Linked DNA regions of Cricetulus griseus. The protein of the gene in region 1 purifies or fractionates together with the protein of each later gene. This does not show direct contact. Links are inferred from orthologs where the notes say so. Each region holds a gene or a part of one and is shown on either strand. Other genes may lie near its edges. The genes, in order: Capza1 and Tnks1bp1.

Evidence for each region.
Region 2: the proteins of Capza1 (region 1) and Tnks1bp1 purify together in Homo sapiens (affinity purification with mass spectrometry; 3 studies listed by BioGRID and IntAct, with this or other methods). This does not show direct contact. The link is inferred for Cricetulus griseus from reciprocal best matches to the Homo sapiens genes CAPZA1 and TNKS1BP1.

What each region holds. Positions count from the first base shown.
Region 1 is NW_023276806.1:52,110,283-52,119,455, reverse strand, and holds the start of Capza1 (F-actin-capping protein subunit alpha-1), read right to left. Parts: upstream 4,640-9,173; 5' UTR 4,548-4,639; coding exon 4,509-4,547; intron 1-4,508. Other genes in the region: St7l (suppressor of tumorigenicity 7 protein-like), read left to right, coding at 5,265-5,478, 8,518-8,600. UniProt on the Homo sapiens protein: F-actin-capping proteins bind in a Ca(2+)-independent manner to the fast growing ends of actin filaments (barbed end) thereby blocking the exchange of subunits at these ends.
Region 2 is NC_048599.1:90,484,804-90,494,331, forward strand, and holds the start of Tnks1bp1 (182 kDa tankyrase-1-binding protein), read right to left. Parts: upstream 4,590-9,528; 5' UTR 4,458-4,589; intron 3,948-4,457; exon of another isoform or gene 3,564-3,947; intron 2,188-3,563; exon of another isoform or gene 2,035-2,187; intron 1,719-2,034; 5' UTR 1,704-1,718; coding exon 1,619-1,703; intron 667-1,618; coding exon 42-666; intron 1-41. Other genes in the region: FACT complex subunit SSRP1, read right to left, coding at 5,865-5,936, 6,152-6,338, 6,846-6,934, 7,054-7,224, 8,178-8,307.

The DNA.
Region 1 (9,173 bases):
AGGTTACCAGGTTTATCCAACAAGCACCTTTACCCACTGAGTCATCTCTCACCGGCCTTATTTATATGTTTTTACACCTCTACTAAACAATTTGATAAACCTGTTTCTAGAAGAAAGAATGAGAAAGAGGAAGAAGAGAAGGAGGAAGCAGCAGCAGCAGCTTTTATAGTTGGGCACAACAGTTTATGCCTGTAATCCCAGCATTCTGGAGGCCGAGACAGTACAGGGCCAACCTTGGTTACACATCCAATTCCAGGCTAACCTGAGCTACATACTAATATCTTACTTTAAAAGCAAAACAAACAGCCGGGTGTTGGTGGTCCATGCCTTTAAATCCCAGCACTTGGGAGGCAGAAGCAGGCGGATCTCTGTGAGTTCGAGGCCAGCCTGGTCTCCAGAGAGAGCGCCAGAATAGGCTCCAAAGCTACACAGAGAAACCCTGTTTCGAAAAACCAAAAAAAAAAAAAAAAAAAAAAAAAAAACCAAAACAACAAAAAAACCAAAACAACAACAACAACAACAACAACAAAACAAACAAACAAAAAACTTTAAAAAAATGCCTTAAGCCAGGCATGATGTGTGGTAATCCCTGCACCCCAAGAAGCTGAAAGAGGAGTGCCCAGAGAATGTGAAGACAAGACTTCAAGCCCAAACATCCAATGGAACAAACAAACAAACCCTTACAAAGGACACTGCCGTCTAAATTAAAAGCACACAGACCCACTTCTCAGAATTCTTAAGGTGTATACACATATTTTACTCATTAGGTTAAAGAGAAAAACATACTAATCATTTTTTCCAGTCCTAGAATTCTCTTCATTGTTGGGGGGTGGAGAGAATTAAAAAACCAACAAACCAATGCTGAATCACAAATAAAGAAAACAGGTAAGGCAGAGAGCTCAAAAAAGTAATTCATGGCACACCTCAAACTTCCTAATTAGGACCTGGTGGTCTTGGTAAACTTTTAAAACTAAGTTAACTGAAGAGCACAAGTACCTAAAATAGTCTCCAGAAACTCAACTCCACGCCAAGACTTGAAGCATTTATCTGCCTGTTACTACACTTCTCACTTCCTGCTTTCTTCAGACAGCACATTCTGACCATTTCAGGTAACAAGGCAGAAGTGAAAAAAACCAACTTCCTCTTTAACAGTGATAAAAGCTTTGGCAGCTGGTTATCAAAATCACTTTACTTGCTTTTAAAGAAATGCTCGAAAGAAAAATCAGAGACCCCAAGCAACAAACTTTTGGAAGGGTTTACTGCTTTCTGAAAACATAACAAAGATAAAGAATATTAAATTATTCCTTTTGGCACCATAACAGGCATACTTAAAACAAAAGAGAACAACAAAAACAAAACATACCTATCCCAAATAAAATGCACTTTGAAGTCTTCAACATGAAAGAAGAAAATGGAAATTCTAGATTTCCTTAAAGAAGGAATTGGTCCTAGGGGCTTTGCAGATCCTGGGCAAGTGCTCTACCACTGACTATATAGTCAACCCATTTCCCATTCCTTTTTTTCTTTTTCACTTCATTTTTGAGACGTCTCATCAAGTTTTCAAAGCTGTAGTTCAACTTGCTTTGTAGCCTGAACAGACCTTAAATTTTTCTATCTTCTTGCCTCATCTTCTAAAACAGCTGGGGTTACAGGTGTGGGCTACCAGGCCAGGAAAGATAAAGAATATTTTTTATCTTGGTTTTAAAATTAGTCTGTACCGCTGGGCATGGTGGTTCATGACTCTAAGCCTAACACTGAGAATCCCAAGCAGAGGATCACCATAAGTTTAAAATCTGGGCTATAAGTGAGTTCTAGATTAGCTTAGGATACAGAATTCAGACTTTCTCAAAACAAACAAACAAAAAATCCCCAACAACCCTAAGTAAACAAATCAGGAAATATCTTGGAAAAATCTTTTCTCAGAATAGCGTTTTTTTTTTTGTTGTTGTTGTTTGTTTTGGTTTTTTTTCTGAGAAAGGGTCCCATTCATGTAGCTGAGGCTGGTCTTAAATTCCCTGTTACCAAGGATAAACTTAAATTCATAATCCTCTTTCTGTTTACCTCCCAAGAGCTGGGAATATTACAGACAGGCACTATCAGGCCCAGCCTTCCTACCTTTCTCAAGTTTTGAATTCAGATAAAATAAATCTGAAGGTTAAAAGGAAAAGCAGGCAAAGGTAAGAAGCCCCCAAATCAGGAAGTCTTTCAAAGCCCTTTCTTTTTACTCATAGATTTAGAGAGATATGAATGTGCCTGTGAACTCTGAGGAAAGGAATCTAACAAAACTACAGTAATCTCAAATCTTAAGGGTCTCTCTATGTAGTCCTAGAATTCACATTTAGACGAAGCTGGCCTTGAACTCACAGAGATCCACCACCCTCTGCCTCCTGAGCCTTGAGATTAAAGGTGTGCACCACCATGCCTGGCTCAAATCTCCAACGATTTTTACTGTATCAGTACATTTCGTTATGTACACCAATAAAGACAATGTAGTAAAAAAAAAAAAAAAAAAAAAAAAAGACCCCCAAAATCTCTATTAAACCCAGCATCATGGGGTTTGACTACAATCCCAGCACATAGAAGGCAGAAGCAAGAGACAAATTGGAGCCCAGTCCAGTCTACACAGCAAGTTTCAGACAAGCTAGGGCTACATAGCAAGACTCTGTCCCCAAAACACAAAAAATAAGATCTTTACTAAAACAGGAATAAAATTCATGGTTACTTCTGGGGCAGATTTACTAATTATTGGCTTGTTCTATCATCATTAAAAGTAAGCAACAAATCTAAGTGTGATGGCATATAACAGTAATACTTGAGAGGTTGAGATAAGAGGATTAGGGATGGGGGGGGTCATCCTTGCTATATAGTGAGTTGGAGGCTTACACGAGACACAGTCTCAAGAAACAGAATAAAATTTCACTCTAACGATGTTATGTGAACCAAAAGTACTTGCCTTAGAATAAACATTTTGCTATAGTTTTCTTTCTAATGTTAATTCAGCTGTCTTTTTGTTTCCTAGGTATTTACATTTATGATGCTCAATCTCCACCTAAGAGAAAACAACCCTCATGTGTTATTTGTTGGCTTTTTATTTTGATGCTGATGCTGAAGTTCAAACACAGGACACTGCATGTATAAAGTGCTCTACCAAGAAACTGCCGTCCCAGTACGTGTTAAGTGGTTTGTAAAGGCATTAAGCAAATTTTCAGCATTTAAAAATGGTGGCCCACACATACACAGGTATAAGTTAAGTTATTCTTTATGGAGAAGTGATCAAAAATAGTCTGTTCCTCCCAACAATCTCCAATATTTTCACTACTATAAGAACCTGGGCAGATTTTTATAGAACACTGGAGAGTACACACTTTGTAACAGTCTCTGCAGGAAGCAAAAGACATGTTCTTGTCCCATAAGGAGTTATCTAGTGAGACCATTCTACTTCTACCAACCCTAAAATGCTGTGTTTACTGTAGAGCCAGCCACTTCTTTCTTTTTTGGACAAACTGCTTAGTAAACGTTTGCTGTTTTGAGAAAAAGTCATTCCATTTAATTTATAATGCACCCTTGTATTTAAACCGCCTTTAAAGATCTAACTACACAATGCACACTGTCAAACCCAACTATCAAACACCACAGCAGGTCATCAAAAAGGGCTGGGTGTGTCATTTAAACTAAATGTGTTAATGTGAGGTTTATTTACTACCAAACTTTTCTGGAGTTGAAAAAAAAAAAGTCTACTGGCTACTATTCCTCGCTGAACAGGAAGCCAAAATTACTTTGAAAAAATTATAGTTAAGAAGATTAAGACAGACAGAAGGGATGGAGTCACCTTGGGGCCATACACGGACACAAGACAGCAGCAGCAGGAACAAAAGTCAAACTCTTAAGCAAATGCCCTGAGGTTTACAGATTTATTTTTTATCAAATTAGTTCAATCGTCACTAGCTGAGAAAAGACCAGGGTGTGTAGTTAGGTGGATAGATAATACCAGACAGAGGACCTCTCCCTGTCAAGGAGTCATGACAGCAAAATCACTTCCTGAGGAAGGAGGAGCAAAAGGGAAGTTAAGGAGGCAACTCTGATCAGGAAGTGACTCGTCCCAAACTAACCCCAATCATACCTATAAATGGGGAGGGGGGAGCCCCAACAGCCAAAGGCGGTAAAATAGCTGCTGCCTGACACGTCCCAACATCACCTTCATCCCCTCTCTTATAATTATATAAAAGAAAGTACAGTTAAAAGTCAATCAGGTAAAGTGTCTCCTCTTTTAAAGGAAAGCTGTGCTCGATCAAGAATGGAAAGAGTTGAGGCATGGGGAACTGGGGCCACCGTGAGGCAAAGGAAAGCCCCTTTAAGGAAGGAAGCGTCCCGGGTGCACAGGGAGTATGCCAGCACCGGGAAACGGGCTTTTTTTTTCCCGGGGACACCGCCAGGCTTCCCACTGCTGCCGGCTCGGACCCCTAGGCCCCGTCGGGGGAGGAGGTAAAGGAGAGAGGCGGACCCCTTACCTTCTCCTCATCCGACACCCGATCCTCGAAGTCGGCCATCTTGGCTGCTCTGGCCCAGCCCGGCGACCGGCGCGAGGCAGGCCGGGAAGGAAGCTGAGTGGTGGAATCACCAAGGGGGCCGTCGGAAGGACCCGCCCGGAAGCTCCGGCCAAAAGGGCGCCATGTCAGTTCCGCGCGGGTGTGACAGCCTGGAGTGGCAACGCTCTAGGAAAGTAGGCTTTGCCATCGAGGCCTCGGAGTCTTAACATCTTTCTCACTGAATTTCAGTCACTTTCCCATCCATCCTGGAAGCTCGGTGGCGACTCTCGACTGTCCGTGGCGCCAGGGCTACCTCTGGTCACGCAGCAGTTCCTACACCTATGAGTTTTCCTGGTCCCGCAGGTCTCCGAGGCAGCCGAGTCCAGTGCGCTAAGAGCTGCCCGGCTCTAGGCAACACCAGTACTTTTCCAGTCCCGGAACGGGGCGAAAGATGACCCCCAACCTCATAGGGAACCACAACCACTTCCCTCCAGCGCCACACTGAGTCCGTTTCCTGCAGAATAAGTGCCACCTTCGAATCCTTCCCCGCCCTCCTAGAGGACCAGGTGGCGCCTCGGTCTGAGGTCGCGCTCCGTCGCCTTCCCGATCTCTGTCCAGGTCCCCAGGACTCAGCCTTGACAGAGGCCAGCTTCAAGTCCGCCACTATCCCAGGATTCCCAACTCCGGGTTTCCTGCCCTTCTCCCCTCCCAGGTCCCGGCGCCTGCCGGAGCCGCAAGATGGCGGACGGGGAATACTTCGCGGAAGCCGCGCGGGCTGTGGGGTGTCCCCATGCACCTGTTCCCGGCTTGGGCCTGGGCCCGCCGCTGGGCTGGAAAGAGCGGCTGAAGGCCGGGCTGGCGAACTCTGGGTCCACGCTGTGGTTCCTGGCGGGGCTGGGGCTGCTTTACGCTCTGAGGGTCCCGCTGAGGCTGTGTGACAACGTGACAGCGGGTGAGAGGCCCAAACCTCCTGGACGGTCGGGGACAAGCGCCAAAGTGCAGAGATTCTCGGGGAGTCGTGGAGGGCTTTGGAGAAGGCATTGGTGTTGCATGCTCCAGTGGGTTATTTTTCCCCCCCCTTGGGCCACAACAACCGGGCAGCTGATTGTCAAACCTGTGCTGCAGTTTGCCGGCCCCTCCCTAGAGCTCTGAAGGTTCGCTCTCTCTGTTCTGCCTACATTACCGCAGGAAAAACTATCTGACAAGCTGCAAGCTTCAGGTAGTAAGACAGAAAAGAGCATTTCTGTCTTACAGAAAAGAGCAGTTACCAACACACAATTTATATACATACATTCTTCTTATTTGCAGCCCCCCTTTAAAATAGTGCCTTTGAGTCTCCAGCCGCCTAGCTTAAAGAACCCGCACCCAGAAAATCAGCATTATCTGTAATACTATGATTTCAGAGGACCATGCTTCCTTCTAGTGTAAGATAGTTCTGTTAAGAAACGTTTTTCGTGGTATTTTTATCTTTCAGACTTTATCATGAGTAATAAAAAGAGTACAGGAAAGGGAGAGGAAGAGAAGCACAAGCAACATTGGGTTTGTTTAGTATGCTCTTTCAGCATTTGTGCAATGTTTGTTATGTAGCCCAGGCTAAAGATAAAGACTTGTAAGCAAGTCTTTTATATTCTGCAAGTACTATTCCTTAGCCATAGTGGGATAAAATGACGGGGTCCTGAACCTTTTACAATGTTATTGAAGTATTTCTGCAGCCTCAAAAGACGAAGTATTTCTGTTATGTGGTGACTCTATTAATTTTTCTATCCTGTGAGAAGGCAGTGGTCTCTCTTTTCTATCCCATGAGATAACATGAAAGATTGCGGGATAATGTTCTGAAATGCTTTGAGTATTTTAGAGGATAGGTAACATACCTATCTTATTTGTCTGTAACAGGCGGATGAAGTGCTTAATGGTGGTTTCTATGCTCATTAAAATGCTATTCATTGGGTTTGTTGTTTATTTTCCACTTATTATTGTTGCTGGTTTGAGGCAGGACATAGCCAAGACTGGCCTTGAACTCCTGATTTTTTTTTTTTTTTCCCCTCAAGACAGGGTTTCTTCTCCGTGTAACAGTCCTGGCTGTATTGGAACTCACTTTGTAAACCAGACTGGCCTCGAACTCACTGAATCTGCCTGCCTCTGTCTCCCAAGTACTGGTATTAAAGGTGTGCCACCACCGCCTGGCCTGAGCCCCTGATCTTTTGAGTATCACTTTTCAAGTGGTGGGATTAGAAGACTGTGCTATCTAGCCTGTCTTTAAAAAAAATTATCTTACACATTATCTCTCTGTATAGTCCAGAATATCCTCAGGCTAGAGTCCTTCCTGCCTCTCAGCCTCCAGAATGCTAGAATTGCAGGCTTGAACTCCCCAACCTGCTACTTTGGTTTCATTTTCTAAGTTTTTAATTGCATGTACCATTTAGATGAGAGTTAATTATTACAGACATTTTATTTTTAACTCAAAATTGGGGCTAGAGATGTAGCTCACTTGGTAGAGTGCTTTCCTAGCATACAGGAAGCTTGGGTTCAATTCTCAGCACCCATAAACCAGGAATGCTGATGCACGCTTGTGATCCCAGCACTTGGGGGTTAGATACAGGATTATCAGTCGTTCAAGGTCATGCTCAGCTCCATCCTCAGTGAGTTTGAGACCATCCTGGACTCTATTAAACCACTTTTTAAAAGTATGTTTAACTTATTACTATATATTTACTAAAGTTCTAGTGTAGATTATGTCTTGTGTTTTAGATTTTTAGAAAAGCAGGTTAAATTATCTCATTTTGACTTTTGATTTTCTTTTTTGTTGTTGTTCTGTTGTTTTTCAAGACAGGTTTCTTGTGTGGCCCTGGCTGTCCTGGAACTCTGTAATGTCCATGGTCACTCTGTAGACCATGCTGGCATTGAGTTTACAGAGATCTGGGATTAAAGGAGTGTACCACCACCACCACCACCACTGCACAGCTTTTTTTCTTTTTTTGACCCTGGAGATTGATTTTAGGGCCATTTACATGCCAAGCCTCATTATGATTTACTTCTTATTTAACTAAACAACAGTATGAAATCCCACTTTTATATACATGAGAAAATTCTTAAGATATGAAACAATGGGGTTATAAAGCTACTTATTTTAAAAATGCATAACATTTGTTTTTATAACTTTTTTAAATGAATTTCACTTTAGATAATAATATAGACAGGCCGGGCGGTGGTGGCGCACACCTTTAATCCCAGTACTCAGGAGGCAGAGGCAGGTGGATCTCTGGGAGTTCGAGTCTACAAGAGCTAGTTCCAGGTCAGCCTCCAAAGCCACAGAGAAACCCTATCTCGAAAAACCAAAATAATAATAATAATAATAATAACAATATAGACAGTTATTGACCTAGGGTGGTCAGCTTAGAAATTTTGAGTTTTGCAATAATGGAAAAGCTGTCTGCATTCAGGAGAAATTTGAATTTTGATCTTTTCCTGAAATAGCAACATGATCTCTATGATGCTAGGCAGCAGTAAGCTACTGGTTCCCACTCATCATTCATACTCTGTGGAAAGTAAACAGCCAATGCTATCCAAGGCATTATGTTGCTAAGCTATGGCATTTGGAAGATTAGAGATATTACCTACACTTTTTTTAAAAGATTTTTTAAATTTATTATGTATGCAACATTTTGCTTCCATGTATATTTGCACACCAGAAGAGGACACCAGATCTCATAACGGATGGTTGTGAGCCACCATGTGGTTGCTGGGAATTGAACTCAGGACCTCTAGAATAGCACCCGGTGCTCTTAACCTTTGAGCCATCTCTCCAGCCCTACCTACACTTTTTACTTACAGTATTTTCAATTTATAGGCTTGTTTGGACATAACCTCACCAAGTCAGGCATCTGTGTTGCTTGCCTCCCTCCATCTAAAGATATTTATATAACTGTAATGTACTTTAAATTGTACCTTGTAAAAACTCTGCTTGTAAAAACACTGTTTTCTCTTTTAACAGTGACAGGGTTTTTAAGTTCGTTGACACCCAAGTTCTATGTGGCACTTACAGGGACATCTTCTTTGATATCTGGACTAATATTTGTAAGTAGTTTCCATTTTGTTCATTTCTATTTTGATACTTATTTAAAGATTGTTTATGTTTTTAAAAATTTATAAGTGTTTGTCAAGGTCTCCAAAATGTGTTTGATATTTAGAAAACCTTACCTAGAGAAACAAGTTTGAGAAATACCACATTTCCCTCTCTTCTTTGATGAGTGTGTTAGTATTGATTATATGTTAAGTTTCTTTTTGAGACAGGGTCTCATTATGTAGCCTAAGCTGGCCTTGAACCCAAGGCAGTTCTCCTGCCCCTACCTCCTGAGTGCTGGTATTGCAGGGGTGAGTTTCCATGCCCAACTTCACTCATTGTGTTAATTTGTATGCAGGGATAGCAGATAACTCAGCAGGTAAAGGTGCTGGCTGCCAAGTCTGACTGACGGCCTGGGTTGCCGTCTAATCGCCACTCGTGTACTTCCATGCTTATACACATACACACAAATATAATAATTAAAAAAACACCTATATACTAACTATAGTTAAGAGAAGGTTGGTCAAGATGGATTAGAAGTTTAATGATCAAAGTGTCTACATTATTATTTCAAAATGAATGGGGGA
Region 2 (9,528 bases), on another chromosome or scaffold:
CCTAGCCCCTTCAAAATTTCTTACCTCTCCTTAGCCCTTACCTCTCCACGGGAGTCTTGCTATGTTCTTCCTGGCATTCTGCTGGAGACTCTGCTGTCCCTTCCTGGGATGGGGCCTTGGCAGGGGTCTTATCATCCTCTCTGAGTCCAAGGGTACCATAGGTCCTGGGGCCATATCGAGAGCTTCCATCATGATTAAAAGTGAGGCGGGAGCCCCAGAGGCGGTCAGGGCTAGCAGGGATCTCCTTCCGAGGCTGATCCATCTTAGCCAAGATCTCTTCTACTGTACTGGCTGCAAACCGCTCAGAGGAGGGACGGAAGGGGGCAGGGGCCTTTCGCACACCTCCCAGGGCAGTACACCGAGCTGGGGGTGTTAAAGGAGGTAAGTCTTCTTTCCCAGCGTCCTCTTTCCCAGACTCTTGGGTAACTTCTCCAGCAGGTGCGTCAGCTGTAGGCCTTGGTGCAAATGGGAAGGGACGCTTGCTGACACCATAGGGCTGGGGTCCTGCCAGCATGTTCATCTTCCTGGCAGAAGGCAGCTCAGCCAGGGGACCCCGAGGAGGCCGAGGCCCAACAGGAACCAGGAGGCTAGGCTTGGCAGGCAGAGCTGGCTTGCTGGATAAGGCCCGGGGCTTGGGCTTAACAGGGGGCTTGGCCCGAGGGTCACCTATCAAAAGGAAGGATTCATTGGAACTGTCAGAAGAATCATGAAACAAACTTTGGTGACTCCTGTTGCACCAAATCTCCAACCCTCCAACCTCACAGGGTGTCCTTCTAGGTTCTAGCACGCACTGCTTGTTCCATGATTTTTTACATCCCAGATGTAGCCTACCTTTTCCAAACTTACACAATGTTTACAAGTTCCCCTTCTTAAAAGCTATTTATGGGGGCTATAACACCTTCTTTCTCTAGCATCCTATTTTGTACCTAGCACAGGTTCCCATCAAATAAATGAGCAAATGAGTACATTCATCGGCCTGACCCTAGGAGGCAGTCAGCCTGGGAACCCAATTTAGCCCTATTTCTTTATAGGGCCCTATGTACCGTATTTCCATAGTGAACTGTTGATCCTAGCTGAGCTCCCCGTGTCTCCCTGCACACTCCCAGGCCACCTCCTCAAGGTCATCTGGTTCATGATCAGGAATGCAAACTTATTATTGACCTATGTCAAACAGAAGTAAATCTACCACAGGAAGAAATGGGGGGGGCAGAAGTCTACCTTCTATATAAGGCATTCTAATGCCAAATAAAAGACCTTGGGAATTACTCATGGCCACAACCCTTCTATAATAGAATCCTGTATCACCCACTCATTCAGCTAACCATTAAAAAAAGTCTAGACAGGGAGAAAGAAATGTAGTCCACCTCTCCTGTGCCTCAGTGTCAGCTTCTCAAAGAATTACTGGACCCATCTCAAGGATTCTGCTTTCATACCGGCTGGAGATCTATCTCACTCTCACCAGGTCCCAAGGCCCTTCAGCACTCATCTCACACTGGCTGCCTCTCACCTCAACACAACTGTCACTCAACTACCTGGCAGGACAGAATAGGGGTGCAGCCTCTACCCTCTCCACCCTCCCAGTCACCAGCCCCACCCTGCACCCATCACCCATTGGTACCTGGCTCAGAGCCAACAGGCGCCAGCTCCTCCCCCATCTCCGGGGGCAGTGGGGAAGCCATGGCCGTGCTTTCCCCGACTTTCATCACATGTGGCAGACCCTGTTTGAGAAAGGAGAAGCAGTATAAGTTGGGGTGGTTGTCGACCCAGGAAAGGGGGAGGTGGAGAAGGAAAAGAGCTGGGCGAGTCAACAGGCTTAGCCAAGGAAGTCTATTTCTAACCCAGGCTGTGTGGGACAGGAAGAGAGAACTCCAGGAGGAGGTCGGGGAGGTCCCCACAGGCGGGGTGGGGAAGGACCCCACAGCCACATCCTTGCTACAACTCTCCAACTCTTGGCTCTGAACCTCAGAGATCTGGAGCATGAGAGCCACCTCACTCACAACATCCCCAAGCACCCTCCTGTGACACCCTACTTACAGTTCCCAAGACACCCTTCTTGGTCAGGCAGCCCCACTAGAGGTATCCACTCCAGGCGGGGTAAGAGGGCCGGAAAGTCTCAAGTCTCGGGAATCACCTCATGGGAGACGGGAAAAACCCGCTCCTCCCCGACCTGGGGCTCCGCCCCACTGCCGCCCCCCCCTTCCCAGTCTCCTCCCTCCCTCTATGGGCTGGGAGTGGCTCCCTACCCCCTTCTCCCCATTCTCCTTTCACATCCCTGCCCCCTCCTCCTTCTCTCAGAGCTGTCTCATCCAAACACGGGGAAATAAGAAATAAAAAGTAAACATCTGGAATACATTTTTTTCCTTTAATTTCTCAATCGTTTTGGCTTCAGCTTGGAATTTGATGAGGTAAAGCCAGGGCCTAGTCCTGTTACCATAGCAATGGCCTCCCACTGGATTTCCAGGGCCTAGCCAAAGGGAAGGAGGAGCCGGCCCAGGATGGGCAGGGAGAGGACAGACTGGACTTGATTGGGGGGCGGGGGGTGGGGGTGGGAGGCTTGACTTGGAGGAAAACTCCTCAGGGTCCAGCCTTCCAGGACAGTCAGGGAGGGACCTGCATAGACTGTGAAATAGGAATATGTGTGGATCACTAGCCTGGAAACGGCCAGAAGGAGTTTTGAGGGACCAGAAGAAATTAAACCAGATGACAGCCACATAGTAGTAGCCTGTCACATGAGCTTCTGAATCTGATATTAACAGATTTAACAGCTAAGTGGGTCTACCATTTTAAAGCTGTGTGACTTTTCCCTATCTGAAAAATGGGGTATTAAGACTTGAGTTTCAAGCCAAATAATGCATGCAAAATACCAAGCATGGAAGTGATAAGTAACAGTTGGCCACTATTAATGTGACTACATTCGGAGTCACTAATGAGCTAACTAACATCCTTGGTAACCACCTATAACTCTCCCCCTACCCTAGGCTGCATTCCTAGACCAGTCCTTCATGACCCCAAGTCATCAGTTCTTCAGGCACTCCACCTCCTCAGTTCCCACCCTGGGTGCTGATGCACCCTCCCACCCACAAGGCCCCCTCAGGCTCTGCTACCTGATGAATAGCAAGCACTGCCCCTGAGGTTCAAAAGCAAGGGAGAAGCTGCCTAACACACGGAATGCACACAACCCTGGAGGGGCAACCCAACCCTCACTGTGTTGCAACCTCAAAGTCCCTTTCCCACTCCAACTGGTCTGAGAAGATAGCTCTCAATGCTAAAAACGACCTGTGGTGCCCAGTCTTTGCAAAAGGCATCCCCATCCCCTTGACCCTGTCCCAGCTTATTTCGAAGAGGGTATGGAGAGAAACTGTGACAATGTCAATCTCTGATCAGCCAATTACCACGGGCTGTGCGTGGGAGAATAACGTGTGTGGGGGGGGAGGGGGTGACAGGAAAAAATAAAATTAAAAATACACAAGATTGCTTCCTTGTCCTTGAACATTATTACAAGGGATATGGTGTGGGTGGTTAGAAATGAAGAAAAACTAGTCTAGAAAAAAAAATCCTCTCACCTGTGGGCTTGATGGACACCTCTGAGGTTATAAGGGGCTGCAGAGATGAAGACAGAGGAGGTGGCTACAGTAGAGAGGCCCCAGCCAGGAGCCCCAGGAAACCAAGGCCATGGCCTCAAGCTGCAGAATCGCAGTGCCTCAAGAACTCCGCACCCTTAATGGTCTAGGGAAACCAGACAGCCTTGGGAGTAAAGGCTGCCCCCAAAGGATGGGAAGGCACTAGGCAGCCTCAGTCCTGGGCAGGCAGGCACCCTAAGGGCCGGCAGGGTCGTCCCTAAAGGTCTCCTGCTGAATGTGCGACTAGTGCGACCAGGAGGGTTAAGTGTTGGAAGAGGGAGGGCCAACAGGAAGGCGGAACAGCCCAGGGCAAGGGGCTGTTTGGAGGGCCTCCGTGGGGAGCTTACGGACATCGAGCGGCCAGGCGAAGAGGAGGAGCAGATGAGGGTGGAGGAGGAGGGGGCGGCAGCAGCGGGGACAGTGAGAGATGCCAAGCAGCCCGCGAAGGAACAGACCGAGGACTGGCGAGGAGGACTGTGAGGGCGGCCTGGGGTGGCTGGGGGCGTGCCATGAGAGTTGAGGAAGAGGGCCGGTGAAGGCAGGAGGGGGGGGTCCCTCGAGTAGCTCCGCCCGCCCCCGGCCCGGCCCCGCCCCACCCTCGCCTCTCCCCGCTTTCTTCTGGCTCCCGGCACGAGTGCTCTCCACCCCCGCACACACGCTCCAGCTCCGCAGCGCCCCCGCGTCCCCAGGCCCTCGCAAACTTTCCTAGTGACCCCCCCACCACCATCGCCGCCGCCCCAATCTGAGGTCGGGACTGCTAGGCGCCCGGTTCTTTCCATGCCCTTCCCCGCCCCCATCCCCGGACCCCGCCCCCTCCGGCCGTCGCCGCACACTCACGCGCTCCCCGGGACGGGCTCCGTTCGGCTAGGCACCCCGACGCCAGTGACCGCTGCTGCCGCTGCCGCCACCGTCACCGCGGGACCGAGCCAGTGCAAGCCCCGGGGCCCCTCCCATAGCCCCGCCCAGGGACACGCCTCCATGCCGTTCATGAATATTCATATAAGAATCCGTGAGAGGGAAGCCGAAGCTGAAACAGAGTCCGGCCCACGAGATGCAAACAAGCACAGCTCGCACATAATTATTCATGACCTTGTAAATGAGGAGCCGGTCCTGATTCAGACTTAGGCGAAACTGACGCAATTTTACCCCAGCGCCACCGAGATGACTGCCTAGAGAGGAAACCGCTCTGGACTGCTTTCCCTAAGCCTACACTGATTACAGCACCATAGAGCGCGGGCAGCACGAAGGGAACCGCTGGCGGACTGAACAGGCTTCCTGTTACACCTGAGTCTTCCTGGGAGCGCAAGCGACGTGGCCACCCGTCGTGTATAAATTCAGATTGAAAGCCACAGTAGAAAGTGGAGTAGCTTTTTCCCTCGTGTTATCTGTTTAAGAGCTCTCTTAGATACACTTCCCAAACATGAAATTTTGTAGCCCTCCCTTCACACACTTAACTTCACTCACACACTACTCATCCTCCTGACTCAGGTTTCCACTCCCTGCACTAGAAAGTCGATCCTCATTCTATTACCTCAAGCCTTATAAGACCCTTGTCTCCTAAAGTGATTAAGGATGGAGCTGAGAACCCCGCCCCCTCCGACTCCCACCCCTGTGCTGGCTAATGGAGTGGAACTCTGAGAGGCTTCCTAATCAGATCAGCACTCATTTCTTGACTCTCAGGTGGCATTGTTCACAGACAAGGGTGAAAACCAATGCTTGTCCAGCCAGGAAGGACAGGATGTGCTTCAAGACTTGCTTCCCAGCTGGGCAGGAGGGCCCTGCAGAGTCCGGATAGAAGGGTAAACACCACATGTAAAGTGGGAAAGGAGACATAAGGACATGGTTTCCAAAGTCAGTTCCATTTATTAAATTGACTTCACAGACCAGAAATACAAAATAAAAGTAGAAATAGGCCCCTATTAGGAGCTACAGGCCTGACTTCACATGACCCCTGATGCAGCCACTTGAATAAGACAGGAAGCAGCTTTATCCCTACAGTCGGGCAAGTGAGCCGAGGACTTAGATCCTTCAACGCACTGTGAGCAGACAGAATGCACTCCTACCCAGTCTTTCCCCAGATTACAAGGAGCCATTCTTGCAAAGCAGCTGAGGTTAGATGTTTCCCTTGATGCCTGCCTCAGAGAAGTGGAAGCCACCAGGAGCAGTTACTCAGATGGCACAGAGTCCAAGAACTATGTAGAAAGCCTGGAGATGTGACAGGGCAAGGACAAGAATTTTCTTCCTCTACTCATCAGATCCTGAGGCAGAGTCCTCTGAGCTTGGAGGAGTGCTGGCTAGTTCCTCTTCTTCAGAGTCCTGAAAAACCAGAGGTCTCTTAGGTAAAGGTATAATGTCCCAGACACTTTTTGGTGAAGGGTCCCTAATGCCCAGTTCCTCCTACAACTGCACTCACCATAACCTCAGAAATCCACCTGTCCACTCTAACTCATTACTCTTACAGACAAACCACAACCCTGTCTTACCCACCCCAGACTCAAATGCCCCTCAACCGCCCAGACTTCCTGCCCCACCTCGCTCCGCCTCCTCTTCTTTTTGCTCTTGTTCTCTCCTGAAGAGCTCTCATCACTGGACACAAATTCTTTGCTCTTGAAGCTCTCACTTAGCTGCCTTGATGAAGACTTGGATGATGAACTCCTAGAGGGAGTGGATTTTTTTTCCATCTTTGCTTTTACTTTCTTTTTCTTCTTAGACTTGTCCCTATATTAAGAAAATGGAAAAGACGCCAGGCCATTAGTCTTCCCATATTATCAGATAGGCCACATTTCTCCTGGCTTTAATGAGGACGTCTCCAGTAATGGCCATATTATTCTCACCCTGGCAAATATAATGTCAGCTCTGTAGCCCAAAGTACACCAAAGGAGAGGATCATACGTGAGTACCTGAAGAGCCAGGGTCACGGCCTGAAGCAACTTATGCAAAACTTACCTGGCACTTTTGTTTTGTTTAAAAGTTCATATGGATTTTGAATTAAGCTTCACAAAATACTTTTTTCTAAACCCTCCCATTATTTATTTGAATATAAAACTGATCGAGGAAAATGGGCCATATTTATCTCCTAACTCCATACAACACCTATACTCGGCAATGGCATAAGCACTATTTTACTGCTGTCAAAAATATGTACCACAATTCTCAATTCTAACCTGGAAAAAAAAATCTGCTAAAAAGAGCAGTTATTGGGACCATTTTGTTCCTAACACTCACCTTTTAGAAGATTCACCTCTTCCTCCTTCATATTCTTTCATGGCTTTTTCATATTCCCTCCTGGCATCCTCAGCCTTTCGGTCCCACTCCTGTCACAAACAGTCCTTTAGACTGATGCAAGCAAATCTGTATCTACAGATGGATGAGTGACACACCCTGCACCCCCACAAAGCCCTTCTCACCACCACTCCTTTCCACTGTTACTCACCTCTTTCTTCTCTTTGGACATTCCCTTCCAGATCTCGCCTGCCTTCTTAGAAAGATCTGTGATGCTGATGCCAGGATGGTCTGACTTGATCTTCTCTCGGCTGGCATTAAGCCACAACATGTATGCAGACATAGGCCTCTTAGGGGCATTTGGATCTTTACCCTTCTTCGCCTACATGAGAAAGAAACCAAATGCCATCAGCCATCCATATTTCTCAACTATCCTAAGTTTCCCCAAGGAAACCATCTGGGGAGGGGGAAAATGCAGGGAGAACTAGATGGAACTGGGTACCCAGGAACAGCTCTAAGGGCAGGACTAGCCGCTTTTTCCTTCTCCAAGAGATGCCCTGGGCAGAGGCAGGATGTCTCCTAATTCAGATGCAGAGACTCACATCTGTCATGGTACTAAGAACAAGTTACAAATGAGTGCTCAGTCCTAAATGGAATATCTCTATCACCAAGGCCCAGGGAATACAGCTAAAGAGGTGGGCAGGAAGAATGCAAGAGCCAGAGAAAAGGGAGGAGTACTATGAAACACTGCCATCCAGATACAGCATGGCTGCTGTGACTGTCAACAGCTATGGATACTTGCCCAAGGCCAATACAAGATTGGGTCCTGATATTCTATCATAGATAGGAGAGGCAACCACGAGGGCTCACCCTTCCTAAGGTGCTACATGCAGTTAACATGCAGTTGCTAGGAGAAGATGAGTCATTTTCTTCAGCGGGGCAGCCACTGGTAAGGTCTTACACATGCTATACAAGCAATCCTAATTAAACTCATCAGATACAAACCAAAAAGACAAGACATGAAAGCAAAAGATGGACTAGTTCAGGAGTTGAAGGAGGGGAACAGAGGGAAAGGGGGTATGAATAAAATCATAGTACATTGAATGTATGTTAAAATTGTCAAAAAATATTAAAATTGGACAAACAAACAAAAAACCCAGATCTTCTAGAAACAGTATCTCAGGGCCAAAAAGAAAACCTAGACGGTATCTACCAAAGCCACACTCACCCAAAAGGCAGCACAACCAACAGGACCTGCTGCGAGTGGAGAGGAGAAAGAAAACAGAAAATGGAGACGCACACACTCACTCTCCCAATCTAGAGGTGAGTCTGTACCTCTGAAGACTTCTTGCGGCTCTTGCGATCCTTGGCCATCTTGGCCCTTTTGAGCTGTTTCCGCTTCTTCTCTTCTCGGTCACTGTCCCCCTCATTACTGGAGGAGCTGGCAGAGGCATTGCTGTCAAACCTGCCAGAGTAAGGCTTAGACTCAGGAAAGGAAGGCAGGATACAGATCTTTTCTTTCATTTTGAGATAGGTTTTCTCTGTGTAGCTCTGGCTACACAGAATTGGAACTCGCCCTGTAGACCAGCCTGGCCTCGAACTCACAAAGATCTGCCTGCCTCTGCCTCCAAGTGCTGGGATTAAATGCTTGTGCTACCACTGCCCAGCCAGATGTCTTGAGAAAGTAGTAAAAGGAATCTAGACATCTGCCCAGAAAGGGCCAAGGGAGTAAGTCCCAAGGACAGGCTCCACCACTAATTGCCACCCCAGCTTCCTGCCTTTCACTAAAATGATTTCATATCCCTTCTCCAGACCCAGCCACCACAAAGGCTTATTTGTTTATTCAATCAATAAAAAACCAATGTTTCAGTGGGCTCTTCTGCTCTAAGCCAGGTAGGTTCTATTCCACTCCTGCCCTTCAATACTGTCTCCTGCTAGCCTGCAGCATACCAAGTCTACTTCATCACTCCCTTTGGTTAAATCACCTTAGTTTATACTACAATCTTCTGCTAAAGAAAGACTGAAAGGGAGGAAACCAAGTTTCAACTGAAGCCAGTCCCTGTGTCTGACTCTCCCGTCCAATAAAGCGCATCTCCTCTGGACACACAGCTGCTGGTACTTGCCTACTACTGAAAGGCTCCCGAGGCAAGTAATAAGCATCTGTGCCTTATTAACCCTTGCCAGCACAACTAGTGAACTTCTGAAAGACGGTCAGTTTGGTTTTGATTTTGCTGCCCCACCTTTCTACATCAACAATCCCAGTTTTCTGTAGGAAAGGAGCTCATTCTAACTGCAGAGTCTAAGGTGGTTCTGCTCCATTAGAGCCACAAATATATTATCTCAAGGTCAGGAAGGCAGTTGACCAGAGACAACACTATCCACTGTGCTGTTCACCAAGAGGTGCTTCTGGGTGTTAAGCTATCCACATTAAACCTTCCTAGACCTGAGGGACATAGAGCAAGCTTTCTAAGAATAGTAAAATCAGAAGCAGATTCCTCACAACTTCTGAGCACTGAGATCCAGTAGTACCCATGGTCAACTACATTCCTGAACTCTCCAGTTACATAAACTAAAACAAACAAAAAAAAAAAACACACACTTAACCCTGTGGAGCCAGTGTGAGCCTTCTTACTTTCTGAAAAGGACAATCAGAAGTCTTGACTGATATAGCACAGGGGTACTACTG